2 linked regions of the Oreochromis niloticus genome follow. The protein of the gene in region 1 purifies or fractionates together with the protein of each later gene. This does not show direct contact. Links are inferred from orthologs where the notes say so. Each region holds a gene or a part of one and is shown on either strand. Other genes may lie near its edges. The genes, in order: xrn2 and cdkn2aipnl.

Region 1 (16,070 bases):
TTAATCTTAAAAGTATCCAAACTGGGGGCTAGTTCCTCAGGAAGAGTCATTTAGGGTTAGCTGGATAAAGGCATTGTGTATTCTTCCACTGTGCTTTAAGACAACAATCAGTCAGGTGTGAACAAATCATACATGTTGGGAATGATCATAACGCCAACCCTGCATGCATTTGTGCATTTGCATTTGCAACTAGTTTTCAAAACCAAGGACAGCTCTTCCCAAACTAGGCCAAAAACAGAGTGCTGCATTATTAAATTCCAGATGTGTTTGTATAGGTATCACGTGCACACATCTAAGAGGTTAATCCTGGTACCAACACAGCCTTTATCTGGTCTTCCGCGCACCATATCTTACATGTTTCCCACGTTATCAGATTAGGGTTTGGGCCTCTAAAAGAGATGGCAGATTCACAAATAAATGAATTTATTTCTGGACTACATGTCATTTGCTGTGGACGCACTTGTTCTTTAAAAACTGGTGTAATTAAAAATAATAGAATTCCTTTGTTGTCACTCTCCTAAAATAATAGCAATAAAATTAAGTTCTGAGATCTGTCCTGAAAAATAAAAAGTGTGAACATTCCTTCCACCTCAGGTGAAAAGACAACAAGAAAATGAGCCCTGAAGGCAACATCAGAGCCTTTTTGTTTGGATCCTCCAGCTGAAGTTGAACTTGTTTGTGTAACTGAAACTCAGTGAACAGATCAGCCCATCTGCAGCAGACAAGGGTTCCCTTTTGATAATGTGCAGTGAACTTCCATTAACAATAATTGAGTCCCACTCCACTGAGTCACTAACAGAGGGAGGAGGGGGAGGAGGAGGGAGAGAGAGAGTGTGTGTGTGTGTGTTGTTATTAAAATGCCTTCCTCTCTAATGTGCAGGTAAGGACCCCTCACCGTTGCATCTCACCAGGCTCGCTGCCAGGGCCGTCTCTCGCTTTTAAGTGAGCGCCTTAATTGAGACAAATTTAGCTCAATTAAACCGCTTTACCTCTGCCAAGAGCGTTTCAGAGCGGCGGAGCGGCCTTTTCAATTAGCTGCCGTGAGCAGATTCACCACTGATCCTGTGACTGTTTGGGTGTGTGGACTGTGAGAGCGCTGGAGCCCGCCGGAGTCACAGACCCGCTGCTGCTGCTGCTGCTGCTGCTGCTGCTGCTCCGTCAGCAGACCTGGGATGGCCATAATGGAGCTCAAGGACATTTTAACTCATTTAATAACACGAGTAAACAAACAGATATACAAAGGAATAAATAAACAAATACATTAGCAGATAAATGACCCAAAATTTTCAGAGTGGGGTTGTGCTGGCAGGCATTCAGGACCCCTCATTAACATGTGAGTTTTAAACCATGTTAGTGGGCTGGCGCTCACGGGGCACTGCTGCTCTGCTGACTGAAACATCTCAACTGACATTAATTTCTTAACAGACATTAATGGTTCCCAGAGGATGAAATGCACTCACATTTTCCTTTATAATAAACACTTATCAGTGTATTAAGTGGTATAATCAGACACTCAGTGGAAAGATTATGGGGCAAACCGCTGAACCGCGCAGACCAACTGCACCCACAGTCACAATCAGGATGATGTAAGAAACTTTCAGCAGCAAGTGTCACACGACTGACTCTTGATCTTTCCCTGTGACCTTGTTTTTTCTTTCTTATGGTGAGGACATCAGGGCATTGTCCGACGTGGACAAGTGTGACCAAACTGTGACAGAGAGAGGGATTCTGAAGGGATACACACAGCTGGGTATCCCACAGGCCAGGGAAGGTCAGTCACAGCCAAATGCCTCCAGAGGATAAGATAGGTGCTGAGAAACCAGCTCAGTGGTAGGAGTGGGATCCAGTCCACCCATAGATGGGATAATAAGCTGGCCACAGAAGGCGATAGACACCAAAGATGTCAACATTCACAACACTGGAGGGTCACCGATTGGTTTGTGAAGTCCTGCTGTGAAGATGAAGTTCTTACCTTTCTAAAAGCTGAAGTCACGAGTGTGGGGTGAATCTGACTGGCAAACCGAAGGACACCACGGGTTGGTAGCCAATGAACATACAGCAATTATCCTCCTCTCTGAGTCCAATGAGCATCATGTTTTACTCTCTGTGATCTTAAACTTGTAATTTGACCCATAAACTCATCAGAAAAGTGTTACCGAGGTCATAGAAGCAACTGTTTTCCCTTAGACCTCTTTACAATCAAATGTTTTTTGCTACCAGAGGAGTCGCCCCCTGCTGGCCATTCACCTTTAAGCTATGGACTCGACATCCATCTTACATGTCCAGCTTGTTATGTTCCCCGTCGTCATTTTTCCGGCCCTCCCTTCTTCGTTTTTTAAAGTAAATACTAACATCTAAATCTGAAATCCAGTTTCTTCCTTTTCCTGTTCAGAAACATCAGGACCAGCCCGTCATCGCTTCATGTCATGTTACGAGGAGGGTCTAACCTGAGGAAAGCGGGCTGTGCCTTTGTTGATGTGTTGTGAGTTCTAAATCACAACACATCAACACATCACAAATTGTGGGGCGGAGCCAAGAGGAAGCAGGCTTTAACAGAAGTCCAGATTTGTATATCCCACAGGTAGCAGGGATGGGAATGATGTAGTCTAGCCTCTTTGATTCTTTTAAAATTCTGGTGGCTGTATTTTTAAATAACTGGAGACGGACTTTTGGCTGTTTATGACGATCTTCACTATTAAAATAATGAAAAATTTCCATGCGGTACAAGAACTCAAACGTTCTTCCCACCGATGACCGTAACAGGCAAACAAATAATCAAACAGTAAAAGTAAAAATTCCGATAAAATAGGAGGAAATAAGATGCATAAAGCTGCCTGTGAGCGCTTCAGAGGAGATGAAAAACGGAAACCCGGCAGGTCTTTATTCCTGCAGCACAATGGGCAGAAACAGACTCAAAGAGGCTCAGATATGAAGAAGTGTGCGAGCCGCGGAGGACACATCACAACCTTGGAGACACAAATTGCTCCGTTGTACGATGTGAATTCCTGCTGAGCTTTTCATGAGTAGGCTAAAGGAATCAGCTAATCAAAGGCGCACTAACACGTCCAGCCAGTGTCTTTGGACCAACGCAACAGACCTTTTTTTTTGTCGCGCCTTTATTAAGCTTCTGTTTATCAGATCATATCTAATGTGTGCTGGAGAGTGAAAGTGTGAATTTAACACATGAAAACACAAATCAGCTTCTGGATCAGACGCTGAAAGCAGAGGCTGAATGAGATAAAATGATATTTGAATGTAAGTAGGACCTACAGCGACCTGGTGTGAAGTTCATGCTCAGACACTGCTGATTGTACCTTCAGACTCTGAGTGAGGTTCCAGTCTAAACGAGCAGAGGTCTTGTGTGGTGTGATCACTTTAGCTGTTTGTCTTTGAAGTGATTGTTCTAAAATAAAGTCTGTGCTTAAGGTGTTAACACAGCTTCAGAAATCACTTTAGGCTTTGGTAATGAACCGAGGTGCCAGCAGGGAGTTGTGGAAAAAAACACCGACACGTGGTCTGAAAAACACACAAACGACTGTGAACAGTTTTTAGTGTCTTTGTTTTTGTGTGTCCGCCTGGTTTTCTGAATCTTCTTTATCCATTTTCAACCTAAAAGTGGTTCTTCTGTGATTCTGTAATTATTTTGTCTTAAAAATTACTTCTACACCTCTTTTTAACCTCCTTCTGTCTTTTTGAGATCTTGTAATAGCCCTTTGTGGCTGTTTCAATCTCTGTTTTTTTTTTCATTTTATTTTCATAATTTTGCATTTTCCTTTCATTCTCCATCTCCTTGAGTGATTTTTTTGCCTTTATTGGTTATTTCTTCGCATTTGTCTATTTTTAAACATGAACTATTGGATATTTGGGTTCGTATGTACATCTCCATCAGAAAAGTCCACAACTCCAGTGCTGGTGTGGAAATGATTTTGTGATTTGTTTGCATCTCTTTGCTCCTTTTTTGTCTCTTTTTAGTTACTTTGCATCTCTCTGAAGTCTTGTGTAGCTCATGGTGTCATAGTGGTCTCTTTAAAGTCTCTTGTGTTTTGGTAATTTTGTAAGTAGACATCCTTTTACTGCCTCTGTTTGCAGTGATTTTACATCTTTATTCCTTTATTCATCTCTTTTTAGCTGCTTTGCTTCCTGTGTTTTCTTTTTGTGTCTCTTTGCAGCTGTTTGTGGTAAATTTCAGTAGTTTATGTCTCTTTTGTGGCTTTTTTTTTGCAACACTTCTTTCATCTTTTTGATAATTTTCTTCATTTTTTAGCAAAAAATTTAAACCACCACATCAGACAGAAGCTCTGGACCCGGGGAGCTTTGGTGAGAACAGTATTTTACACCAAATACATCAATGGGGCTTGTCTAAACATATGAATGAAATTAGTCTCAGAGTTGGTTTGAATTCATCCTTCAAGTTTTAGCTGCCTCTAATCCCAGTTTATAAATGTGCCATGTAGCATTATAATATAATAATGTAATGTCATAATCAAAAGTTAAAGAATGAAAGTGAAATTCACATACACAAACACGTGTTTGTTTGGCAAAAGGACACACGTTCTTCACTCGAGTGCAGCTGCAGATACTTGTGTTAGAAAAGCTCTGAAGCACTGAAGTACTGTTCCAACTCCTTTACCTAAATAAAACAAAAGTACAGGCTCTGAAATGTATTCAGCTTATAGAAGTAAGACGTAGCTCTTTGAAGGACATTCTACTTTTAATCATCAGCTGTTTTTATGCAAAATTTACCGACCACTGTGATTTTCTCTCCTAATTGTTGTTAAAAGTTTGTTTCTCTGTCACAAACATCTCTTTGATTTGTACTCGCGTTCCCTGCACATGTTAAAGTGCGTCTCTTGACCTGACTTTCTCCCCTCACCCCCAGCCAGTCGTGGCCCCTCGCTGAGCCTGGTTCTCGTGGGGATTTCTTCCTGTTAAAAGGGAGTTTTTCCTTCTCACTGTCACCAAGTGCTTACTCATAGGGGATCAACTGTTTGCATTACTGTATGATGTTCACCTTACAATAATCTGCACCACATCACAATACCGGTAACTTGTTCACTGTTGTTGTGATTTGGTGCTACATAAATGAAATAAAATTGAATTAAATAGAAACACATTTGTCCGAATGAGGCTCAAACTGTCTCAGATGAGAACTGCCAAACTGGTATTTTTCCAACATTCATTAATCGGACATAAACTTGTTCTCACAAAGTTTTATTTAATTTCACACATTTTTTGTCTTTGGTTCCCACTGATGAATGACTTCACTCAGTTCAGTTCAGTCAGTTTAATGGCCGTACTGGGAAATTTGGTTTGCAGATATGCTCTCATGAAATCCATCAACAATATAAAAAGAAGAAAAAACAATACATAACAAATACAGAAAATTAAATCCACATCCAAAAAACTCATAAGATATAATCCTCCAGTAAATATCAGTATAATTTAAAAAAAGGTACAGCTATCACAAATTGATTTTTTTTTTTTTAACACTATTGCATAGAAAATAAAGGAGTTTTTTTGTCCTGCCACATTTTACTCTTCATGTTCTGTATCTGCAGCCTGAAGCAAACAGTTCAAATTCTCTGTGCAGGGGTTCGGTCTGGCTCGTCACATCTTCGCCGGTCTTTTGCACTTCCTCCTGCTCATAAACAGCAGGTAGTGAGATCTGTAGGACTTTGCTCGAGTTTATCGTGTCCTCGGTTCTAACATTTCCAAAGCAGTCAGTAATGGAGAATATTAAAACAGAGTGATGCTTATAGCCTCTCTTTAAAACAGTATCTTGATGAGTGCCTTCATGTGACGCGTTTAGGGGACATCTGCAATCTAGCTTACACTCTTCCTGTGACAGCAATGCATAAAAACCCATCTGGCCTCAGGTTGCAGAGCATAGCTCATTCACAGAAGACACCTGCTATTTACAGCTACGACTAAAACGGATGCAGGACTGTTTTTGCTTTGTTTCTGTTGCTTAAATTAGTTGCAGCTGAGATTTTTAGAAGTGGTTCAATAACATAATTTCCCACTGCCTTGTTGTTTACTCTCTTATTTACCATTTTGATTAGGTGGAAGTACAGTTGTGAATATTCAGTGGAGTTTTTCAAACTGCACTCTTGGCTTATAATAAGCTAATTTCATTCACTGTTTTGACTGTACAGTTTTATAGCTCTTAATGACTGCATTTGGAGATGTAGAATAAGTTATACAGTAGAATTTCCAATTTTAATATGATGTAGAAAAGAAAAAAAGATGTTGAACAAAGGTAAATAATTATACGTGGACTTTTTACCTTGTTTTTACAAGGCACTGGGATTCATTTACAGAATTTCTGTTGTTGAATTTATGTGTTGGAAATCATCAAGGAACAATTATTTCAATTAACAATTTTTATGCATTGAGATTTCTGCAAAAGAAACACTGTCATCTGTCCGTTCACTTTCTGATGCTTATTGGAGTCCAGGTAGTGTGGGGAGCAGTATAAACTGAGAGGTCCAGGCCTCCCTCTACTCAGCCACCGCCTCCATCGAGGTGTTCCGAGACATGTGATCTCTCCAGCCTGTTCGTTTTATGTTTTCATGTCCCAGACCTCCTCTGTCAGACTCTCTGAGATTTAGCAGCAGCTGTTCCTCTAGAACAGCTGGAATAAGACAAAGTAAAGCTGAACCCTACTGTGAAGCTCCAAAAGAAAAGATTGGAAAAAATAATTACATATGCCCTTTTTTAAACATGCATTGGGATATAGAATCTTTACTGTTGAACCTGTAGTGTAAATAGCTTGATTAAATTTACTGTCCATGGACACATACAGGTTTTTCTGCATGATCAAGTCGAATTTCATCTAGATGTGATATCCAGATAACTCGGGCGATGATCCACCAGGTGAGGGCGCTCTTCCTCTTTCAGTCGCCTGCATGCGTGTGGAATATCAATCCAGAGAATCCCCTGAACAATCAGCTCACAGAGAGATGAGATAAAGACTGAACCTTCACGTTTCCATTTTTTTTCCAGCTCTTCGAATGAAACATATTTTTTTAACTTCTGAAATGCTTAAACTAAAACTTCTGCTGTGAGATTGTTTTGATAAACCAAAATTCCCACTTTATCTCAGCAGAACAACTTTATGGAAATCAGTCAAAGCCCAGAACGAGCGACCATTTGTCCATGAATTCAGCAACTCATCGTGTGCAGGTGCCGGAATGTATTCTTGTGTCATACTCCCGAGCTTCACCTCCGTGCGCTTTCACATCTGCCATTTGCATCAGATTTCACTTTATCTTCTCTATTTCTCTCCACAAACACTAAAACGACGCCTCCGTCCTATTACCTGCAGCTCCAGCGTAAATGTTTATGGAAATGGCTCGTCGGAGCAGGCCAAGTGTTTTCCATCAGCGGCTCTTTGCAGTAATAATACTGCAGTGTTGATGTCAGACCCACCCTGCCTGAAGAGGGGAGGCTAATGGCCCCTTTCCCCCGCTGCATGAACCAGTGAGGAGAGGAGGGAGGGTAGAAAAAATCTAATTCACCTTAAATGTGCTGCTGCAGGGCTGGGAAGCGAGAGGGCATCTGTTCAGAGAGTCCCCATTAAAGGAACATCATGTAAGATCAACCACAGCGCAATTATAGGGAATATGGACACGAGTGAGAGTCTGCGAGGATCACACCTCTCACACACCTGTTGGCTTTTGGTGGTTTCTTCACAGCACTGTTTACATTTCAGTCCCCACTTTTAACATGAAAACTCAACTATAGAAGTTATTATTATTATTATTATTATGTAATATTTTATATGAACAAAAACAGTGAGTGACAGTGCACATACCCCTCAGTGAAAGTACATGTTTATAACAATATTAAAATTAAAATTCATAATATGTGACAATAATATTAGAGTAGTATTTGCAATATCAAAATGCATAAATTTACATATAAGTCTGCTCAGTGTCTTAAACTTTACATTAGAAATTAAATATGAGTCATATTTGTTATGTATTTTGTGGCTGTGGTTTTCCTTCATTTTTATGTTGGTACACATATTTAAATTGATAGTAAATGTTTAAATATAAATTTAAAAAGCTTTTATTGATATCCTTAAACCATCCATAAACTCTGTCGTATAAGAGCTTATCAGTGTCTTGTAAGGTATCAATAAAAACATAGGATGTCATTATTAAAATTTGTTGTACAAAATGTTAGATTTTCAGCATGACCAAGTAAAGCATGTCTTATTTCATTTAATCTCCAAATCGTAAATAAACACAGCCATTAATACAAATGCACGACAAATAACATTCTAACATTTTACATCGCACATCTGATGATGTATTTGTGCTGTGAAATATACACAATATAAAATACAATAAACACATTTAACAGATAAAACAGATAACTGAACAAAACTAAATGTTTTATTTTGAAATATTAGAAATTATTAAATGTGTTTCTTAAAGTTGCTTATTTGTCATTTTCTCTGTGTTAAAAGTTTTAAAGTAAATTATTAATTCATTGACTGCATTAGAGAACTTTAGAAAATATGAACGTGTAGACAGTTTACAAAGTATAACAAAGAACAAACTGATAAACATGAGAAGAAATAACAACGGCTTATACTGATTTGATGTAAATGAAATTAAAAAGTAATAATTTTATAGAATTTTGATGCTTTTCTGCCTGAATATTCAATAAATTAACTGAGAACATCCTACAACTGTTTTGTAAAAATAAATAAATGAGACATTTTGAACAACAAAACAAAAAGCATGTGAATAAATAAATATAGAAATATAATAATAACAAATAGACTGATAAAGAACAGCAAAAAATTATGATCTGTGTGGCAACAGAAACTTATCGCTGACAAGCTTCAGAGACTTTCTCAGGAAGCAAAGATTGTTCAGGAGTTGATTTATACTCATGTTAATTTTAAAATACCTGAAGCTCTGCATATTAATATCCCTAATAACAAAAATAAAGTATTAAGGAGGAAATATAGATCCCAGTTTTCAACATTATATTCCACTTACATAAGTGGTGAATATAGTCCAGGAATAAATATTTAATTTATTAATTTATAATCCAGGTGAATCAGTTGTTTCCATTATCAGGACCGTTGGACGCCTGCAGTACCGTCTCTGACCCATGGGGTCACTGTGGAGTTGCGAGACTCTTCAGAATGCTCCGGAAATATTCGACATAAACCGGAAAAGGTACACAATGGCTACGGCCAGCAGCATGTAGCCAACGCATCTACAGTTACGATCTTGTTTTAATTAAGCTGTTTTAATCATTTCGTACTTGTTCGTATTTTAACCGTTGAAATAGAAACGACTGTTTACCGGAGATGGGAGTTCCGGCGTTTTTCCGTTGGCTGAGCCGAAAATATCCATCAATTATTGTGCACTGTGTGGAGGAAAAGGTGAGTGGTTAGCTTTGAAAGCTAGCAGCCTGTCCGAGGAACATTATCGGGAAGCTTTTTAATACTCTTCTCGCCCATTTGACTGCGTTTTAATCGCTGCACACAGCGGGTGAAATTACTACGGCAATGTGAAATGTTTTGGCGAGAGCGGAGACGATAAATAAATCAAAGTTCGTGCAGTCTGTGTTTACTTACACGTGACACTGTAAACAAAACTGCTGCTGTGTGAATGTTTGAAACGCACGCGGAACTTTAACCTGAGACAACAAACACACGAAGTGTTTGGATTCGTTGTTTTTGTATTGTTAAAATTAACAATAGTTATAATTATTTTACTGGTCTGCTGTTAAACAGTACTGTTGAAATGCGTTGAGCCACCCCTCGTTTCTTTATGTTTTGTTGCCAGGAAGCCAGAGTTTCTTTAAAAGTGCTCTTGAGCAGCTGTTCTCTAGGTTTTCTGAAGGTCTTTCAAGGTTTATCTTTGGACATTGGCTGCTTTTGCACTTTGTTTTCAATTCAGTCCTTGTACCTGAACATTTTCAATTTTTCTTCGTTAAGACTCTGAAGCAATCGCGCATAGAAGGAACCTAAGTCAAGGGATGGAGCAGAGTTTTCTACACATAATGGACAATTAAGCATAGATCCAATTTTGAATTGTATCTGTATGCTGTTTGTTACTCCAGCCTGTTACAAAAACAGATCATTTGTTCCTATGACTTTAGCTGAATCTGCAAATAAATGTTATATATCCTAGGCATTTTTTGCACTAACAAGCTGATTCACAAAGAGCTATTTGCCATAAACATTGCGTACAAAAGTAAAAAACTGTCTACAGCATACATATCCTACGTAATCACAAAGCTTTCTGACATCTGTGCTGTAACCTGACATGCATGTCTGTAGAAATGTCGCTAGGTTCTGTGTGAGTGCAGCTCACAACAGCTGAGGATGTATTTTTGTCCAGAGTTGCAGCTCTGTTGCAAATAAGGTTATTTTTTTGTTTCCTTTCATGTTAACAGGGGAAGGAGTGTAATGGAGTTCGTATTCCTGTTGATACAACAAAGCCAAACCCCAATGAGGTGGAATTTGACAATTTGTACTTGGACATGAATGGGATCATTCACCCCTGCACGCATCCAGAAGACAAGTAGGAACCGTTCTCAGTTTAATCTGGACATAAAAGACCGATCTTCTGTGTTTACAGCTCAGTTCATTTCTGATATAACAGAAACATACTCCCTGTGAGGTTTTTGTTTCCAGTGTAATTTATTTGGAAATTAATAATTTAATTGAAACAGTCTTTTTTTAAATTTGATATAATTATACAAATTTATACATATATAAAAGTTCATAAATTAAACCATACCAAGTCTTCACTTTGTCTCTTCCTCCACAGACCGGCTCCCAAAAACGAGGACGAAATGATGGTTGCCATCTTCGAGTACATTGACCGCCTGTTCAATATCGTGCGGCCGAGGAGAGTTCTCTACATGGCCATCGACGGAGTGGTAAGCTGCTGCCATTAACAGAAACGTGCAGCTTTTTTCACTGATGAGCATTTACAAGTTTTACTGTGAGTGAAGTAAACTTGTTTTCAGTGTTACGCCAATCTGACAGTAGCTTTGATGTAAACTAAAGTTAACTCTGCCCAGGCTCCGCGTGCCAAAATGAACCAGCAGCGCTCTCGACGGTTTCGTGCCTCCAAAGAAGGGGTCGAGTTGGTGGAGGAGAAGAGTCGCGTGAGAGAGGAGGTCATCCAGAAAGGTGTGTTTTATTTGCCTCTTTGACTGCTGGACTGAAAATATGGGCAATATATTTTAATGTCATATTCAAAACGCTGTAATGTTAAATGCGTCAAATTTGATGCATGGGGTTTTTGTAGGTTTTTGAGGGCTGTGCATCATCTGTGTGTATTTTTTCCCCAAAAAACCTAAATTAACTGATTTTTAAACAATAAATTGCAAAGAAATGGCAGATATACCAAATATGATCAAAATTAAACTTGCATATGCAAATTGATTAATTGATTGTTTGATTTTTTTTAATTATGAGAAGATTTATTAAACACTCCAGTTGAAAAAAAAAATCTTCTGCCAATTATTTCATAGTTCAGGCATTAAAGGGGAAAGATTAAACACTGTAGACACTGTAGACTGTAGACTTTTTTTTTTTAAACAGGAAGTTCATATTTAAAATTGTGTCCATCTCTCAGGGCACACGTGGAGACAGATTGTCATAGCACAGTCCTGCAGTCAGATCCTGAAGCAGCAGAAGTCCTTAATTAAAGATTCTCTAGGCAGTCTTTGAGATGAACATTAATAATGCAGCAAATATAAATTTGCCCTATACAGACAGTAGTGGAGCAGTGATATCCTGTGTGATGAGCTTTCCTTTTTAAAAAAAAATTTTGGTAAATAGTGTGGCGGCTTCCTCACTGTGAAACCTCCTCAGTTCTGTTTTTTTTTTTTTTTTGTTTGTTGTTTTTTAAACCCGATTTGATCAATTTCAGCTCAGTGTAAAAGTCTGCAGAGTTTTATTTCCCCTCTCTTTCTCTCTGTGCCCAGCTTGGATAGGGAATACAGCCACATGGGGGTAACTCCGCCCTCTAGTTTCTTCTCAGTATAATAAGATTTTTTTTTTTTCCATCTACAGGAGGTTATCTTCCTCCGGAGGAGATTAAAGAAAGGTTTGACAGCAACTGCATCACCCCAGTAAGTTTACTCCATCCAGTGAAATCTTGCCTAACGTTTATTTACTTGTAACAACGTAGTTACAGGATTTGTACTTGAATGGATGATTCAGTGACTTTTCTCTGCAGGGAACAGAGTTCATGGACAACCTGGCTCAGTGTCTGCGATATTACGTGGCCGAAAGACTCACCAACGATCCAGGATGGAAGAATATTGTTGTGAGTCTAATTTATGGCCAGATGTTACCTGTCCACAACTATTTCTTTTATAAAATAAAATGACTCAGTTTAATCATCCTTACTTTCCTCTTTTTTGTAGTTTTCAGCTCGTGGTATTTTGCATTTTCAGGCGCTAATCTTCAGTTTCTCTGTTATCCAGGTCTTCCTGTCTGATGCCAGCGTCCCAGGTGAAGGTGAACACAAGATTATGGACTTCATCAGGAGACAGAGAGGTACATGCATTAACACTCTGAGCAATTCCAATGATTTAATTAAAGGGACCTTTTATGATTATTTCACCTCCACATTTTTATGGTTGGCTTTAATGAAGAAGCTTTGCAATACTTAATGTTCAAAATAATCTTCATCTTTCACTGGGTCTTGGTGTAGTGCCTCAGTGTTTTAGGTCCTCCCTCTTTAAGCCAACTTTGTTCTGATTGGCTGTCGCTCCCAAACTGAAGGTTTGTGTCTGAGATGACCATATTAGGGATGTCTCATCTCGGTGACATTGCACAAAGTCAGCAGCAGGATAGATTGGAGCAGTCTGAAGCTGAGCTTTGACATATGTTGACCTCATTGTTTGAATCCTTGAAGCCATTTTTTATGTAAGATCGTGTTTGTGATAGAAGAAAAGAAAAAAGCACAGTAATTCCCCTTGAATGCAGCTGTACTGCAGAATCATAAATATAAAAAGCGAAAATATGGGATGCTTCTGAGTGGATTCATTTTAAGTACTCTGAACTGTAGTGACAGATTCACAGTTCAAAGTTAAAGTGCTGTTGATTATCAGGTTGACTCTTTTATCTTGAAGTCAAATTTGACAGGTGACCTTTGATGACCAAACATCAAGCACGAGTCTTCACTACACACACACACGCACGCACACACACACACACACACACACACACACACACACACACTCTGTCTGATCTTCTGTTGACTCGATGTTTATGGTCGACTCTTGCAGGTCAGCCCAACCATGACCCCAACACACATCACTGCCTGTGTGGAGCCGACGGTAAGCCTTCAGATTCGCCCTCTTAAAGTCAGGATAAGTGCTCTTAATAGAAGCCATTTACCTCCTCTGACCCAGCATATTCAAGAGATCTTGTTTTGCTGTCTGAATGACTAATTTATATTTTAACCAAGTAGTCCCCACTTTGACCGTGTGTTTTCGTTGCATGTCAGCTGACCTGATCATGCTGGGCCTGGCCACGCACGAGCCAAACTTCACGATCATCAGAGAGGAGTTTAAACCCAACAAACCGCGACCTTGCGGTCTCTGCGGACAGACGGGCCACGAGATCAAGGCCTGCCAGGGGATGCCCAGAGAGAAGCAGGGGCAGGTGAGAAACACGACTCTCAAGTTTACGTCCCTGTTAGCACTGCTGTCTGAAAAAAACAAAGCTTTAAAGCGTAGTTTGAAGATCCACGATTTGAGTGAAAGTCTTTGACTGGAACATTTGTTTGTGCACATTGCAAAATGAGCTGTGCATGGTTTCAGTGTAGGAGCTGTTTAAATGGGCCATGTTTGTTGTCCTACAGGAATTTTAACTGGAACCACCTCTCGACCGCGTTTGTGGTGCTTTTTGGAGCATTTTAGTAAAATTACCTGATAGTTGTACTATCACGCTGACCTAGAAGTTTGTGGTTTGGTTTTGCTGAATGAGATTTTAACATTTTATCAGTCTGTTATTATGCAATTAGCATGTTTCTATATCTTTGTTACGCCTGCACAGTTTACGGGTGAAGCTTTAAAACTTCATAATAACTTCATAATAACTTAGGACTCCACCTCTTGTCCAAATATGGTCATTTCTGGCTCAAAAAATACTGCTGAAAAATAATTGATGTTTGATGTCCCATTGCTGGCATTTGCCATTTAAAGTGCGCAGTATAAACTCTGTCAGCGGACTGAACCTATGTCTGTTTTACAGCATGATGAGTTTGCAAACACGATGCCGGCGGCTGAGCAGGAGTTCATATTCATCAGACTGTGTGTTCTGCGGGAGGTCAGTCACTCAAACTCAGCTTTCTTTCTTTTTAGTTGTTTATTTTAGGGTCAAAATCTCACCTTTTGTTCGCAAACATGAAATCGATCTAAAACGATCAAATTTATGTGATCCAACTGGAAGGGTTCAATGAGTTTTACAGAAACAAACCCAGTGTGTTGCCTTTGTGGTGCTTAAAATGATGGTTCCTAACCTCGGGCACCTGTGAAACAAGTTTGAGGAAGAGTAAGAATATGAAATAATGTTTTGAAAATTAGTTACATGTGTTTAATATATTCTGTTCAGTGATTTATAGGTCAGCTTTGCTGTAAGATTTCAGCCTTACCTTGAACATTTTCTTTGAATCATCAGCTTTTCTTTTTTTCTTAGAAGTAATCAAAGACGGACTGTAGAGGAATGTTCTGCCTCTATCTCTTATGAACAGCATTTGAACTTGAAAGCAGGAGCTAAAGTGTTGCTTCATTGATAAAATGACCTTCTCAATCATCTCCATTAATTCTTATGTTTTCTTTAGTACCTGGCCAGAGAGCTGACCATGGCCAGCCTGCCTTTTCCCTTCGACTTTGAGAGGAGTGTAGATGACTGGGTCTTTATGTGTTTCTTTGTTGGAAATGACTTCCTGCCACATCTTCCGTCCTTAGAAATCAGGTGAGCCTTAGTTCATCGTCCAAAAACTGCTTTATATAGTTCTTTCATCAGGGAATCAATCTGAAACATGCTGTTTAAATGTGGTGTCGATTCAGGAAGTGGTAACAGGGATGTCTGCAGTGAAAGGTTATTCAAGAACTTATTACGAAGCGCTGTCATAAGTTTACTTTTATAATACCCAGAATGTACATACAGTTACTCACCATGATGTAAAAGGGGAATCAGAGAAAACAGTAGGCTGACTTATTTAATTATTGGGTTACAAATAAGCCACAAATTTCTGTCTCCTCCAAGACTTTATTCGGGTGAATTGATTTTTATATTTTTATTCCTTATCTTATTAGAATCCATCCATGTTTTTTCACTTGATAAATAAATAATAAATTTCAAATAAATATAAAAAAATCAAGTGATTTAAATAATAGATTTAATGAAATATGTAAAAACATAATAATAATTAAAATATAAAAATGGGCAAATATGTAAACAACTGAAATGAATAAAATTAAAATTAACAAATGTCCTGGAGAGAGTATTTTATTTATGTATTTATTTATTATAGGCTGTAATTACAAAGCCACAAGTTCATCTCATAGCTAATCAACTGTCAGAAATGTTATATTAAGTGCTGTATCCACTGTATCTCTATTATTATCTTTATCGTGTTTTTCATACTCGTATTGTTTTAAAGCTTTTTATGCTGTTATTTGTTTGTGCAATATACAGAAGGTGGTTTTTTTTTCTGTTGTGTAAATAAAAATGAGATTTGTATGTTCAGTCTTCCTTCCCTATTAATGAAATGAAAGTTGAGGAGCTTATGTTTGCGTCTTCTTCTCATGGTGTTTTTTTGTTTTCCTCAGAGAGGGAGCGATAGATCGACTGGTCGGAATCTACAAAGACGTTGTTCACAAAACTGGAGTGAGTGTCATCATTTATCTGAGCTCTGCAGGCAGCTGTGTCCAGGGTTTTTCTTTTATCTCAGAGGTTTTAACCAATGCTGGAAGAAAAATGATATCATTGTTATATATAGATATAGGTATCATTGTTTTTGAACAATTGCACTTAATGTGTAGAGTCACCCTGTACATGCGTG
Region 2 (16,304 bases), on another chromosome or scaffold:
AAAGCAGTTGCCTTCTTTCAAAGCACCCCACTGTGGACCACATCATAGACAGCATAAAAGAAGGATAAAAATTCTTGGCCCCAAAAAGTAAAGCCAGTGTGACAATAATTTAAACTGGCACTCTTTTCAATTAACACCAGGGAGCGAAGTCTATGGGACAATGGTCCTTTAACGTCACTTCTGTACCATGATGATTTTAGGTGCTCAGTCCCACATTTTGTATCGTACTGAATGAAACAGAACGTTTTGTGAATTTTTGGTCATTCTCAGTTTCAGAAAGGAGGTTTAACCAGTTCATTTGTTTCAAAACAACAAGAGTGCAAAAGCAACCATATCCAGTGTTCAGAATGGATTTGGGTGATCCCATGAATGCTATGTCCATCTTTTGTACTGTCTGTACACCATACAATACAAGCTAAAAAGATGCTTCCTACTGAAATACATTACTTACAAAACCGAACGTCATGAACAAGCATGAGAACTTTTCTATGCACTTTGTTCAAACAAATGTTTTATCTTGGGTGTGCTCAAGACAATTTACCTTAAATCTGTTGTGTGTAGCAGCAATATTTCTATTAGATGAAACGTCATAGTGCAACCATATTAGCTAAGTTGTCTCTTTGATGCTGTGTGCATCTGAAATGCTAAAGAAGTAAATTTGTTTTAAAAAGAATCACCTTAAGGTATTTCAGAAACTTCATAGTCATATTTACTGGTTTACCATTGTTGCAAATCACGCATGGTCTCAGAGTTGCATATAAGTTTGGGACTCCTGTGTAATGTTTTTTGGGTTCAAATCCCGGATGAGCCCCCATTTATGTTAAACCCGACCCGATTTTAAATTATATAATAAGTTAGCTAAAATAGCTGTGCCTCCATGAAAGCCTGCCTCAGGTATGCCATTATTCACACCTGATTAGGTGTGGTCAATTAGCAATAGCTAATTTTGCACTTTTGCACTGCCACTGCAAAGAGATTAGGGGCTGCAGAGGGGCATAACACATGTAATACTGATTTGCATGTTTTAATGTCATTTCAGCATTGAGTTGTTTGTTCACTGCCTGTTTTACTTTGATAATTGGTTTCTCTTGTGCATTCCAATGTGTTTTCCATGCACCTCACATTCTTCTGTTCTGGTTTTGCTGGAATTCTGTATTTTACTTAGGACTTTTCATCAGCCACAGAAAAGGCTTAGCTTTTGTTGAAGAATCACCCTGTCTGCGTTGCATTTGGGTCCTCTCCACATTAAACAAAATACAGCTAGTTGTATAGGTTTACAGAACGTGGACCTGCTGCTAATACAGGCAGAAATAGATTAATATTCTAACATATAGTACTGCTTATCCTCTTACACTTTTACTTTTAAATAACCTTTATATGCAGGAAATAATTGCATATTGTAGTAAAGCTGACAAATGTAGAAAAAGCTAAAATAGTGTCGTAGCAGTTCTGATCTTATGTTCATCATGACTGTTAAATATTGGTATTTATTAACTTAATGCAGTAACATCTCTGTTTTGCAGGCTGGGGATTTTAAGATGGGGAAAGCCGATTGATTCGGGATTCTCTTTGACGAGGGAGAACCACCTCTTAACCGGATCACCTCCTTACCCCGAGGAGCTGCTCAGAGTTTTCAGTGTGCCAGAGGAGGAGATGATACACAACTTCTTTCATTTCAGCTGAGTTCACCTGTGTTAAAGCACAGGACCGGAAACCCCGACTTCTTCGGAGTGAACCAGACTATGCTGACTTATCTGACTAAAGCTAGCTAACAGGCTACAAACAAGAGGAAATTTGAGCCTCAGGAAATCCCAGAGACATGTTCCTGGATTATCAGTTTAACATGAGGAGCACTCTAATTATGGTGGTTACCGTTCTGTAAAATAGTTACTATTATTTTGTGAACACTTTATTCTTATTTTATTTTAAACGAAGAATCTTCAGAATATACTAATTTAAACTAACCTGTGGTAGTATTGCCTAGTGTGTCTTTCTCTCTTAAACCCCTCAAACTCGGACTCTGGTCCCACTAACATTTCTAATATTCTGCAAACCTCAGGTGCAATATGTTTGCATCTGCCAATAAATATTTGTATGTTGTGTATCTCTCTGTGCTTCGTCTGTGTCATTTTTCACTTGTGAAGATAGCTTAGACTTGTTTGAGTCTTCAGCTACTTTCATTTTCATTTATAAATGCTTTATAAGGCATAAATAGTCCTCTCTTTAGACGAGGTTACACAAAATACATAACAACTACTAACAGCTTGATGATTGTTAGACATGATAAATTATGTAATGAACATGTTACACATCAGGTTATTAATTAGGATCAACAATAAACTGTATTTAGAAACTACATGCTTTATAAATGGTGAATTAAGCACTTACTAATAAATAGTGCTTAATAGTGTGTCATTATAATAAGTTGTTACCCAGATTCTCCAGAAACATAGAAATATGTTTTCTATGTTACGTTGTGAATAAAATATAGATTTCTGAGATTCTGTTTTTATTTCTACTTTACACAGCGTCACAGCTTTTTGGGAATTTGGGTTAGAGACTTATGTGGTATGACATGAAGCATTTATACAGTGATCGGTGCAACAGTGACAGTTATTTTGGGAGCCGTCCTGTTGTCCATTATCTGTAGCAGGCTCAATGCCACGGAAAAAAACAAATGTACTGTCAGTTTTCAAAACTTATGCTTATTTAATTAAAGACAGTGACAGCCGCAGAGTCGTTTCCAAAAGCACAGAGTAGGCAAAAACAAAGAATCTGAGATATTTAATTGTTTTCATCACCTTGGGACTCTGGACTCTGTTTTGTATAAACTACTTTGCTGTCGTTTCTCTTTCTTGTCTTTGGACTTTTGTTTTTTTTTACGGGTAAAAGTCTTTAACAAAATATGTCTGTGCAGCTTGCTGGTAAAATCGCTGATTATCATCCACCTACCACAGTTACAACAAACAATAACAGCACACACTTGCACACACACACACGCACACACACAGCATCAGCCAACATTACACTATTTTTCCATGACATAGGTTGCATTTGATTTTCATAACCACATATTACGGAAAATAAGATCAATATGTGAATACTGAAGATGACAATGCTCCTCAGAAAGCAGCTGTGGGTTTGTGTTACCACAGAGTGCTTGTGTACACATATTACAGACATGCACACTATCACGGCCCCGCTATCCATGTCAACTGCAATTAGGCCAATAGATGTGTATGCACCCTGAATATTCTTTCTTTAATTTTGAAACACTAGGTCAGGATTCAGGACCTGAAATAGCTAGCAGGCCCTACTGTTCTGGCATCACTACATGTCAAGAGCACTACTTTTTAATTAGTCGGGGTCCCAGGGTGACAGACTGCATCTCTCGGGTCCCAAGCCTAAAATGTTTAAAGCACCCGTCGTGTGTGGGAAACTAAAGTCAATGCAATGTCAAGTGGAGCCTAATTCTGACATTCCTTCTCAAAAAGTAAACCCCTTTTTCAGTGAGTTTAAATTTCATAATCTTCATTTAAGTCAAATTTTAACATTATAGAAGTTGTTCTCTCATCTACTTGGAGTTGTATAAATGTGGCTCATTTATATATTTATTATTTTTATATTCAATTATTATCAATTCAATTTTATTTATGCAGCGCCAAATCACAACAGCAGTTGCCTCAAGGTAAGGTAGACCCTACAATGATACATACAGAGAAAAACCCAACAATCATATGACCCCCTATGAGCAAGCACTTTGGCGACAGTGGGAAGGAAAACCTCCCTTTTAGCAGGAAGAAACCTCCGGCAGATGGCTGATATATAGGCCATCTGCCTATATATATATATATACATAGGCAGATGGCCGCCTACATACATATATATATATGTGTGTGTATATATATTTGTATATCAGCAGGTATTAAAATACTGAGACAAGTCATCTTGACCATGTCCACGTGTCCTGTTGAGTTGCTGCCATGCGATCGACTGGTTAGACGTTTGTGTTAACAAGCAGCAGAGCAGATGTACCTGATCAAGTTAGACGAAAAGATGGTTCAGGAAACATCAACATTTGAGTTAAAATAACAGCAGACAGTAAACAGTGGCCTCAATGACACTAGCCGTAGTGATGTCACTTTTTCCCTTTCCAGATGGGCAAAAGGTAATTTCAGTGTTTATCGAAGGGATTCATGTCATTTGAGCAGAAACACATGATGTTTGTGGGTATTTGCCGTCACAGATGCTGCTTTTGTTTTCAAGCACCTTCCTTGGCGAATCGGGAGATAAGGCATGAAATTCAATAGATCAGTATTGGCCCCTTTATGATAACTCACTCGACTGCGTGCAGTTTCTGAAGGTTTAACTTTTGCTATGTTAATAAAGATCGAACAAACTTCCCCATGAGGTGTAAATCCACTGACACTTTAAGGAGAGGGTTAATTCTTCCTCACTGGCGCACCCCCAGGTCTCTGGCTGAAAGGCCTACCTGTTGTCTGTCTTTCCCCAATTACAGCATTCTCCTGAGTAAGCATACATTAGGTGACTCATCAAAAACGGCTGTCTGCCAGTGTTGGCTGGAACAGTGTATTATTTAAGCATCAGTGTATATTTCAAGCCGAGAGGGAGAGAGTGAAGCCATAAACTTAATGGGTTAGTTCACTCAATAAAGTGGTGACTTGTATGACTTGGAAGCCACCCAGAAATATAACATACCCCGGAGTGCTGCTGGTGGTTTTTCTGTGGGAATTCGAGAGGAGGTGAAAGTGGATCTGCATGTACTTGTGAGTTTTCTTGTCTATAGGACTCGAGGTACATCTGAAGAGGCTACACTCAGTATTTAATATGGGCGTTCAGATGCGTGCGTTATACATGTGCATTTATGAGGAAAAATCCCTCCTCAGTGCGCAGAGATTGTGTGTTTTTGTGTTGCAAACTTAGCAGGCAGATGGAAGATTAAGACAGCACCGTGTTCCTTTGGAGTTTGCTCATGCCTCCGTGTTCTTTTGTGATGGTGCGTGAAACACTCAGTTCGGAGCAGCAGGAGAATGCAGCCTGTCAAGACCAAGTTTTGCAACCACTTGAAGTAAACTGACACTGCGTGGAAATAGAATTGCAATGTTCAAGGCTCCACTGGAAACGAGGTGAAGATAAAACATCTGGGAGGCGTTTAAAAGGCAAATAAGGGGACTGTCAGAAATCATTTTCAACTTAGTTATTCAGCAAATAAAGCCAATAAACACAGCCAGTGCAACAGCTTGACTCATTCATCACAGAGTTTGTGTTTCTTTATTATTATTTTTGGTTGCTCAGATATTGGAATTCAGTTTTTTTGCTCTCTTTTATATGTGGCGCTAACCTTGAGAAACCCACCAAAAAAATCAGGCTAAAAAATAAATCCTGGCACTGGCTGCTTGATGATTTGACCTCCTTTAAATTAGGGTTAACTGAGCAGCCATGCGCAAGTGAAACGACTGCAAAGAGCAGCCTGGCCTTTGATAAGTGCCTATAGTGTTCACTGCACTTCACAAGGTCCTTACCTTCACATAAAGATGACTCCATATTTCTTCTTCTTCTTCCCCACATCTTTTATCAGCTTCTCATCAGTGTTTCCGTCACATTAAATAAAATCCTGTCTGGTTCTGCACAGACGTTATTTCATGTTTGCATGTCTGAGTTTTGTTCCAACCTGCTCGGCCTGTTAGTCCCTTTAGATTGTGTCTCTCCGGCGTTCCTACGAGACAAATCTCATATGCTTTAGATGTTTACATAACCGGATACTCTTGGTGTGTGTGTCTTCTATAAATATTTGCCTGCCTATTGCATTCAGCCTTATAAAATTACATAACAACAATAATGGAAAACAAATGTATCGTTTTTCACTTTTCACTGTTTATCTTCTCAATCAATTCCAACTTGCAACTTCTCTTTGTGGTCATTTTTGCAGCCCTTAAGCCACATTTCAAATATATTGATTATTTATTACCATGCAGAGCATAAAGCTACTCGGACCAAACCCTTTAATCTCACTGTTATTAGCTGGATTTCGCTGTGCTCTGAAACGCAGCGACTGAGCAGTGTGCTTGTCTGTCTGTCCCTCTGAATTCATGTTGGCTTGCCTTTCTCTGGAATCCCTCTGCATATCAATGACTTCATGTCAAAACAAGCCCCAAATCCTCTGCTGTGAGCGAGTGAGAGCGTCATAAGGATGGAAGAGTCTTGTAGGCTTATGCAGCGCACATATCTGTGCAGACAGAGGGAAATGGAGACTGCGTGTGTGTGTCCCTGTGTGTGTTTGAGTATATCTGTGAGCCTGAATGACTGCCCATAAGCTCCTTTCCATAGACTGGAGGTCCAGTGTTTCTCTCTGATCATTCCTGGCAGGCTGGTCAAGTGCATAGAGATTTCACTCAAGTAAGAAGGAAAAAAAAACATGAAAGCGAGTGAGCGAGCATGTGGTGCAAACATTTCATTGACACACTACCTGCTCCGTGAATTTCAAACATGGAAAGACGGCACAGAAGGGGGGGGGAAGAAGCCCCGGGAAGCCTAAAGCTGTGTTGGCCCAACTACAGTCTACAGTCAGCTAATGTGGCTTCTTGGCAGCCGTTAAAGGCGGTGAGTGGCTCTCCTTAAATTTTGAGACTGCTGCACGTAAAAAGCAAAAACACGGATTCAATTAACATTATGGATGGCTTCGTTTCATTCATGCAAATCAGTGTCAGGGTCCAGGAATTACCACTTAACACGGAACACAGACTTATCCTTGGAAGTGATCTCATCTGCTTTGATAAGTCAGATGATTAGAAGAAATGCGAAGAAAAGCATTCCTGCCATGTAAGTGAATTCTTTTAATCACACTACACTCAGACCTCAGTAAATGTTCAGAGTTTTAAAAAATAATACTTTAATAAATGCTAACTTATTCTGTGCTTTAACAAAAAAAAATTAAAATATTTTTCCAACAAATTTAACAAAGAAATCTCATTTATATCTGCAGTCCCTGGGTGGAGTCTTTCAATAAACGAAATATTCAATACTTTTTTAAAAATAAAATAAAATAAAAAACAAGTAATAGTCAGAAAACAGTCATTTTCTGAGCTAAGATGAGGTGTTATGTTGTAGATTGAAGTACCAAAGATAAGTTTGAACATTTCTTAAAGCAATATTAAAACCAATAAAATCGTAATGACACTGTTTCAGTTTTTAAAAAGTAAAAAAATAACGTTGAAAAAATGATGTTTTATTTATATTATATATAATAAAATGTTTTTAAATATGTGTACATGGCAAGGCTACATTTACTAAGCCATGTCAAATTCTGTTTTTGCTCTTGTTGTTTTTGATTTTAGTTGTTACAGTATAATTTACTATATTATTACTTAATTACAAAAATCTGGAATAAATAAATAAATGCAGGAATTGAAACATGAGGTATAAAGGTGTCCTGTATCTGACCTTGAGGCAGAATGACTGAATACATGTAAGAGAAAGCTCTCTAGATTACCTGAGAGGGCTAACAATTACTGTGCATTACTGCCTGACTGTAGAGGGCCAAGAGTCCCAGAATGCAATAAATAAATATAAAATCAAACAATTAATTAAATGCATCGATAACAAATTTTAATTTGAAATAAACTTTGATAACTTGCCAGAGTGGTTATAAAACTGTATATATTTTAAAAGAACACAGGTAATTACATCTCTTTTTTTTCATTGTAAATACTAATCACCTGATGTCATCAGTTATGCTGCTGGCGCACTGTAAGCTGTGTCTTCTGCCCTCAGAAGTCTGGACTTCTGAGTGTACTTGCCAAGTGGGAAGTAACAAGTGTGCAAGTACAAACTCTGTGTACTTGTCACTGAGAAACACCCACTGAAAGAAACAACTCCACACCAAAACAGTGGGTTTAACTAGATCGGCTTTAGCCCCACTCCCCGAGGTGACGTTGACACAATAAATTCATGAACCATAAAATAATCAATTAAATGGTAAAATAATAAAATTAATTTTTTTAAATAAAATGAATTTATATGTTAATTTATTAATTAATTATTTCTTAATTATTGCACTCCATAGTATCTCTGAAGCACACTGCATATGAAATATTGAGAGTTCCTGTTCACATTTGGATGTAAACCACCGCTCTGCTCCACCACTGCGTGGCGCTGTGTAAAACAAGCAGGGCTGTAAGACGACTTCAAAGACCCGCTTGAAAGGACAGGAAGTCGCTTTTGTTGTCTTGGCCGAGGGAGAGCAAGATGTCTTCCCTGGACGTTCAGGATTTTATCCAACAAAACAGAGCTGTGGCCGAGCAGGTGGAGACATACAGAGGCTACTGGGAGAGCGACAAGCACTGGGAGCCCAGGCGGGAGTTCATCCTGCGGAACTTGAACGACTTTGAAGACTCGCAGCTGGACCACCTGCTCTCCCTCTCCATGGTGTGGGCCAACAACGTCTTCCTCGGCTGTCGGTGGGTAAACACAGCGTGCTTTCATGCCTCTAATTAAAGCCTGCTGACGGACACTTTTTCTAAGACAGCCGCTCCACAGCTCCCACAGCCCGGGATGACTAACCACTGTTTTTAAGTTTCGTCTTCCTTATTAAACAGACTAAAGGGTTGCTAAAGGGTAACAACCAGTGTTCTCTTTTCTCTGAAATTATTAGTTTGATTTTAGATATAGTATTTACTTACTTACTTATTATTATTGTTGTTGTTCCTGCTGCTTACTTACTATTTATTTACAAACTATTTAGAGATTTAGAGTTTATTGTTTATAGTGAGGTTTATTTTCCGCTGGTGGGCTCGCTGCTGCCCCCTGCAGCACTGGAGTCGTCTGCATCAGCTGCAATGCTACTCTGCTACATTTGCTGCAGATGATGCTGAGTTTGTAAAGATTTGTAAAGATGTCCTGCTGGATAAATTACGTGGTTATACTTTTTTTTTAATGGCCCTAAAATTCCTTTTTCTCTATTATGGTTCAGGGAAAAAATATAATGTATGTATAATGGAAATATCAATGCAATATTGCATTTATATCAGTATATCAGATGTTTGTGCCTGCTACTGGACAACATCCAGTCTTTCTTCACTGGAAAAACAGTCTTTGGTTATCAAGTGGGTCTCTGTCTTTGTTTTCAATTTTACCCTATTTTTGTTACTGTTTGTGGTGGCACCTTATGTTTTTATATATGGTGTATATGGTAAAAATTCTGCTACATAAGAAATTGAAACCCTAAGATTTAGCGATCCTCTAACCTCAAGCACTTGGCCAAAGTTGAGGGGGAAATCTGCCCTTAAAAATCTCCTCTGACTGTTTGCAGTGTGAGTCCAAGGAGAAATAAAAGGACACAGTGTTGTGAAAAACTATTTAAAATGAGAAGTGATTTCTTGATTCAAAAGGTCTGGTAGTATTCAGGTCTGGGTAACCCACATAAGTTCCTCATCCATTGGACCCTCACTCTCCAAACTCATGTTGAGACTGTGCGGGCAGATATAGCTAACCTTGCAACAGCAATCCCAGAGAAGCTAGACTACCTGTGCAATGTGAATGGGCTTCATGGTTCTGCCTCACGCTACTAGCAATTACATGGATGTTAGCAAAAAGCAGAACTAGGGTGGGCTGTCTTTTTGTTGCCTCTCCAGTGCACATGTCACTTTATTTTGCAACAAAGCAGGTTTCTTCTTCCTGACCAGATTGATTTACTGACATTTGTGATATACTGTGATTATGAAATGTATGCCTGACTTGATATGAATGTTTTGGACTCTTAGACAGAATCGTTTTTTTTGTTTTTCCAGTTATTTAAAAAAAAAAATCTTTATTTTTTGTTACACACCAAACAACTTAACAGATCGACTTGTCATTGTAGTAATCTGTAATTGCAGCCACTGGGGTCTGCGACTGGTATTAGCTTTTGGACAGCAATAAACCCACAAAATTGGATTTTCATTTCAGTGAGTTTGAGGGCACTCGAGGAGCAGCGCTGGCTGTTGAAGTGCATATTGGATGGCTTCTGTGATTACACCTTCTAAAAGACATTAACCCTCGGAATTGGTATAGGGTGCAATCATGCAAAAATGGCAGATAAAAGGATATCACTATTTCGTCATCCATAAGTTTGCACTCAAATGTGAATCAGAAGCAGGACTAAATTTCATTTATATGAAGGGAAATGTGTAGGAGGTGAAGAAATCATTCACATTTGTTAACTTTATCGAAGAATAAACAATTCTTCTCTTACCAGTATTATAGTTTTCTGTTGTTCAGTGATGTTATTTTCCCAGTGCACTATATTCTTACAGAAGAATATAAAGCACACAGATGAGTTACGGTTTAATGAAGTGTTATGTCTCATAATCGATGGCAGGTATAGCACAGAGCTGCTGGAAAAAGTGAAGGAAATGGCTGAAGGCATCGTAGTGGAGGACGCGCCGGTCTTCAAGACGAGAGATGAGATCGTTAAGAAGCAACAGGTATGTCTGTGAACACACACACACACACACACACACACACACACACACACACACACACACATACAGCTATAATGACAGTCTTTGTTAATGGATCTCTCTGCTCTGTCACAGGGTCGATGACTGGACCAGTCATGCTGGATCAACACAGACTGGATTCAGCTTTTATCAAGTCAGACTGTTTGGTTTTTAAAAAAAATTTTTTTAATAGTTTTACAATCCTGGTGTTTTTAATAGTCGTGAGGAGTTCAGACATCAAAAGACATTTTTATTTTGAGCGAAAAAACTGGCCTCTTCAGACTTTTAGCCTTTTTATTTGTGCACAAACAGCAGTGGTGTCTGCGGGAGTTTGTGAGCCCCACTGCTCAAGTATTTCAATCAGTTTAACTTTTTTAAAACATGTGTTTTTTAAATGTAACTTCAAACTAAAGATGACACTGATGTTCTTGTCTGAAGCACAATAAAGAACTTGTTTTTATCATTTTTGTGTTGTCATTGCTGTCTGTGCCCCCTCCTGGTCACATTGTTTCAACTACATTATGGAGCCACTCCATAGTTAATCATACACGGCAATAAAATACAAATACTACTACTTATAACTATGTCTGCTCAACGAGCTCCGACATGTAGAAAAGTGAACTTTAGTTAAAAGTAAAGCTACAGAGGTTAACATAAAAGCTGTTAACTTACTCTGGCACGGTGTGTTGGCAGCTGTCCTATTTTACATGGCAGCAATACCTGCAGCAAGCAGGGGTGACTTTAAAGGGTGCACTAGACCATATTTACTTCAAAGCTTTAGCAATATATTTTGCAGATTTCTCTAAATACATTTAATCAATATAATGTTTCAAAATATGAAATAAAAGTATAAAAAATAAAAATATGAAAATAAAAGCTTTTTTGGAGACCAGTGAAAATATAGGTCAGTAAAACTCTTGAGCAGCTGGCCTGGGGCTGTGAGGCTGGACACTCAATTATTATTAACATTAATTATTAACATGTGCGCCGTCAGAACGTCTGTTTTCTTCAGCAGGAAGCGTTGCAAAAGCACAGGGCAAGCCTCAGCTTTGAGAATGCTGATATGACTGCTTCGCTTCATTGCAACCACCACATTCTCCTTTAAAGGCTTACAGACACTCATACCAAGTGATTCACAAGCAAAGTTAAACACGCAGACATGCACTCAACAAACTGACTTCATCCCACAGATTCAATACTGTGAGAACTGTTTTTTAGTTCTACTAATATAAGAAAGCTTCCCAAGGGACTTTTTCACCTTAAGCCACAGTTTAGTGGCTTAACATTAACATTTTTGGACATTACTGTACTTGTGATTCATTTCTGCATTTAATAAAATTGATTTAATTGCCACACAAATACAATGAATGGATTTAGTTTTTGGCAATATTTACTATTGCTCATTAATAACAGTACATCTTATAGATTAATCAATCACTGCAGTACTAATCTCAAGTTTTGACGAAGCTTGCATTGATTTTGGGACGAGAAGCGTAAAGACAGAGGCTCAGCAAACATCAGTTTTCAGTTTCAGTTTTCAGTTTTATTTGTCATATGCAAGTTAGCACAGGGTCAACATCGCAATGAAATGTGTTTGACGAGCAGCGGTCTCTCAGCAGCATGATACAGTAGGAAAAAATATAATAAAATATAATATAATAAAATAAAATAACAGATAGAAAAATAGTAAAGAACAAAATATTAGAGAGACATGGTAAAAGAGAAAAGATGACTAAATATATATGTATCTATAAATATAAATATATGTACACTAGTGATTAAATAAGAAAATCTTGAAAAGAAATATGACGGGAGGGCAGATGGGATATTGCACAGGAATGAGCAGCAGAAATTTACAGTATTGCACTTTTTAAATATAAATTACAATAACAATAAAGTGAAGTGACCAGTGCAGATTAATCAGAGTACTTGTGAAGCTGCAGGGTAGCTTCTGAGTGCTGTGTTGTGTGTGTTTAAGTGTTGTGGTTGAGGTGTCGTATGGCTTGATGGTAGAAACTGTTTTTAAGTCTTGTAGTCCGAGCAGACAGACTCCTGTAACGTCTGCCAGATGGTAACAAGGAGAACAGCTGATGTGCTGGGTGGCTGTGGTCCTTGATGATGCTGTGTGCTTTACGGAGGCATCGCTGGTGATAAATGTCCTGAATGGCAGGAAGCCTCGTGCCAGTGATGTGCTCTGCTGCCTTCACCACCCTCTGTAGTGATCTACGGCTGCCGGCAGAGCAGCTTCCGTACCAAACTGTGATGCAGCTCGTCAGCAAGCTCTCAATTGCACACCTGTAGAAATTTGAGATGATGCTGGCGTTCATGCCAAACCTCCTCAGCCTCCTCAGGAAGTAAAGCCGCTGGCGAGCTTTCCTGATAGCAGTGTCTGTGTGAAGGGTCCAGGAGAAGTCCTCAGTGATGTTGACTCCAAGGAACTTGAAGCTGCTGACCCTTTCGACCTTGACACCGTTGATGTGGATGGGCTGGTGTTCCCTGACTGGTCGTTTCCGGTAGTCCACTATCATTTCTCTAGTTTTGCTGATGTTGAGAGTCAGGTTATTTTCCAGGCACCACTCGTACAGTGCCATCACCTCCTCTCTATAGGCCGTCTCATCGTTGTCTGTGATGAGGCCTATGATGGTTGTGTCATCAGCAAACTTGATGATGATGTTGGACTCATGTTTAGCAACACAGTCGTGTGTGAACAGGGAATATAGGAGGGGGCTAAGCACACAACCCTGGGGCGTACCTGTGTTAAGGATGAGTGATGAGGAAGTGTGCTTACCAACTCTCACCACCTGGGGCCTGTTTGTGAGGAAGTTTAGAATCCATCTGCAGATCGGTGTTCCCAGCCCAAGGTCGACGAGCTTCGTGGCAAGTTTTGAGGGGATGATGGTGTTAAATGCCGAGCTGTAGTCGATGAAGAGCATTCTTGCATATGTATTCCCTTTCTCCAGGTGGGTGAGGGTGGTGTGTGTTGCCAGGGCGATGGCATCCTCTGTGGCTCTGTTTGTCCGATAGGCAAACTGAAGAGGGTCCAGTGTGTCAGGGAGGGAGGAGCAGATGTGACCTTTGACCAGCCGCTCCAGGCACTTCATGATGACGGATGTCAGTGCAACAGGACGGTAGTCATTCAGACAGGAGACCACTGATTTTTTGGGAACGGGAATGATGGTGGATGCTTTGAGGGACGTGGGGACCACTGACTGCCTCAGGGAGAGGTTGAAGATGTTGGTGAACACCTCTGCCAGCTCGTCTGCACACACTCTGAGTAGCCGGCCTGGGATGCCGTCCGGTCCTGGAGCTTTGTGAGGATTGACCTTTTTAAAGGTCCATCTCACAGCTTCTGTTTTCAGAGTTAAAGTTGCAGCCTCACTGTCCTCCTGAGGGTAGAGGATCTGCTCTCTGTTGTCTGCATCAAAACGAGCATAGAAGTTGTTAAGCTCGTCTGCGAGAGATGCAGTGGGCTGGACACTGACTGTGTTGACCTTCTTGTAGTCAGTGATGCAGCGCAGTCCATTCCACAGTCGCCTGGTGTCAAAGCTGTGGTAGCTGGACTCCATTTTGTCCCTGTAGTCCTTTCTGGCCTTTTTTATGGACTTACGGAGGTCATACCTGGCTGCTTTATATGCATCAGCATCCCCGGAGTTAAAGGCAGAGGTCCGCACTTTTAGCTTGGCGCGAACGTCTTTATTTACCCAGGGTTTCTGATTTGGGTATATGCGGACAGTGGTTTTTGTGATGATATCATCCATGCACTTTCCAATATATCCAATGACAGAGTCTGTGAGTTCATTGATGTTGCCATCAGCTGCATCCACAAATATCTGCCAGTCAGTTGTCTCAAAGCAGTCCTGCAGGACCTCCTCAGCCTCACTGTCCCATTTGTAAATAACCCTGGAAGCTGGTTTTTCCTGTTTTAGTCTTTGTCTGTATGCAGGCAGCAGCAGAATGGAACAATGGTCTGCCTTACCAAAAGCTGGGCGGGGGAGGGGTTTGTAGCACTCTTTGAATGGAGTGTAACAATGGTCCAGTGTTTGATCACCTCTTGTGGGGAAGGAGATGTGCTGATAGTATTTGGGGAGAACCTTCTTCATGTTGGCTCTGTTGAAGTCTCCCAGCACAATAAAGGCAGCTTCTGGATTTTTGTTCTCAAGTCCAGTGATGATGTCATACAGTTCGTCCATAGCCGTAGCTTTATCAGCGTGTGGTGGAATGTAAACAGCTGAGAGGAGAACTGAGCTGAACTCCCTCGGGAGGTAAAAAGGCCTGACTTTAATGGTCAGCAGCTCGAGGCTCTGAGAGCAGTAAGTTTTTAAGATACACACATCTCTAGCCCACAAGGAGTTAACCATAAAGCACACCCCTCCTCCCCTTTTCTTGCCTGAGTCCTTCGTTCGGTCTCCCCGGTAAACAGTGAATCCATCCGGCGTGATGGCGCAGTCGGGGACGCTGGGCTCCAGCCATGTCTCTGTGAAGGCCAGAACGCAGCAGTTCCTGATGTCTTGTTGGTGTTTAATCCGTGCACGCAGCTCGTCAAGTTTGTTGTCCAGAGACTGGAGATTCGCGAGCAGGATGCTGGGGAGAGGTGGCTTGCTGTTTCTCTGTCGCGTTCGGCACAAAACTCCGGCGCGTTTCCCCCTCTTTGTTTTCCCTCGACGTCGCGCGAGTAAACAAAGGATCCCAGGCAGCAGAGCGTCCACGGAGTCGAAACCTGCTGTAAAGTCCGAACTGGCTGACGAACGTAGCTCCAGAAGCGTTTGTCTGTCATACCGAGTGTATGATCGCGCTGTGCGCACAGTAATAGAAAGCAGAACAAAATAAATAATAACATTTTTGCTGAGATGACTGGGAGCTCTCGTTGGTGCAGCCATCTTACGGCGCAACCGGATACAAACATGGCAGAAATGTTGCAATACCTTGCTTTAACTAAGTTACATGACAATATGAAAAACTACAAAACTCAGTGTAATAGTTCCACCCTATAGTTAATTATGAGACCGGTTGTCGGCATCTTCGCATTAACCCTGTGGGTCCAGGTTACCTGTGTCACCTGGAATTAACCCAGCCTGGTTAAGCGCATAAGGAACCGGATGGATGAATAAATCACCAGAACCCGTGTCAAAGTCTGAAAAATGTGTTTTTTTTATTATGTTTATACAGCATATCGTTAAGTATACATTATGTTTAATTCACAAAATTGTTTTTTATAACATATCCCTTCTGCTTATTGGGTGAGATAAGTCACAAGCCACAATATAACCTTTATTATCAAGGAAAAGAGGAATTCTGGTTTATGATGACTGATTACTTAGCTGGAGTCGGGCAGGATTAAGTCAGTAATTTACAGTTGAGGGGTGGCATTTTTAAATGGGGGAATAAGAGCAAATAAAACGGTGGGCAAAAAGCAGGCATGAAAACAACTTGAGCCCTTAGGAAAACAGTTGACATCACACTCTTGGAACAGGCTTCATGATCTTTGCAGCAGTTTGTTCTTATCCAATCAATTCTCTTATGCCCAAAATTATAGGGAAAAAAAGAAAGTATGAAGTGGAGCACCCTGCTTTCATCCTCTGCTTATTTGCTAATTCAGATGTCAGCTGTGTCATTTTTAAGAGAAAGAACAAAAGCACCGACTGTGTTCAGGCTGACACATGTCACAGGCGACAAAGCATTCAGAAGTCATTTACTTTCTTTGGCAAACTAAATGAGAAAAACCAAGAGAACAGTTTGACTGCAAACAGTAAAAAGGTTCAATAAATAGAAAAAAGCAGACTAAAGAAAAACACGATGTAGAAACAGAGT

Evidence for each region.
Region 2: the proteins of xrn2 (region 1) and cdkn2aipnl purify together in Homo sapiens (co-immunoprecipitation; 6 studies listed by BioGRID and IntAct, with this or other methods). This does not show direct contact. The link is inferred for Oreochromis niloticus from reciprocal best matches to the Homo sapiens genes XRN2 and CDKN2AIPNL.

The regions. Positions count from the first base shown.
Region 1 is NC_031980.2:23,313,563-23,329,632, reverse strand, and holds the start of xrn2 (5'-3' exoribonuclease 2), read left to right. Parts: upstream 1-9,179; 5' UTR 9,180-9,334; coding exon 9,335-9,409; intron 9,410-10,428; coding exon 10,429-10,556; intron 10,557-10,805; coding exon 10,806-10,917; intron 10,918-11,061; coding exon 11,062-11,173; intron 11,174-12,061; coding exon 12,062-12,120; intron 12,121-12,227; coding exon 12,228-12,317; intron 12,318-12,477; coding exon 12,478-12,550; intron 12,551-13,284; coding exon 13,285-13,335; intron 13,336-13,505; coding exon 13,506-13,663; intron 13,664-14,254; coding exon 14,255-14,329; intron 14,330-14,843; coding exon 14,844-14,977; intron 14,978-15,837; coding exon 15,838-15,895; intron 15,896-16,070. UniProt on the Homo sapiens protein: Possesses 5'->3' exoribonuclease activity. May promote the termination of transcription by RNA polymerase II.
Region 2 is NC_031975.2:22,883,488-22,899,791, reverse strand, and holds cdkn2aipnl (CDKN2AIP N-terminal-like protein), read left to right. Parts: upstream 1-8,227; 5' UTR 8,228-8,265; coding exon 8,266-8,477; intron 8,478-10,375; coding exon 10,376-10,481; intron 10,482-10,592; coding exon 10,593-10,601; 3' UTR 10,602-10,959; downstream 10,960-16,304.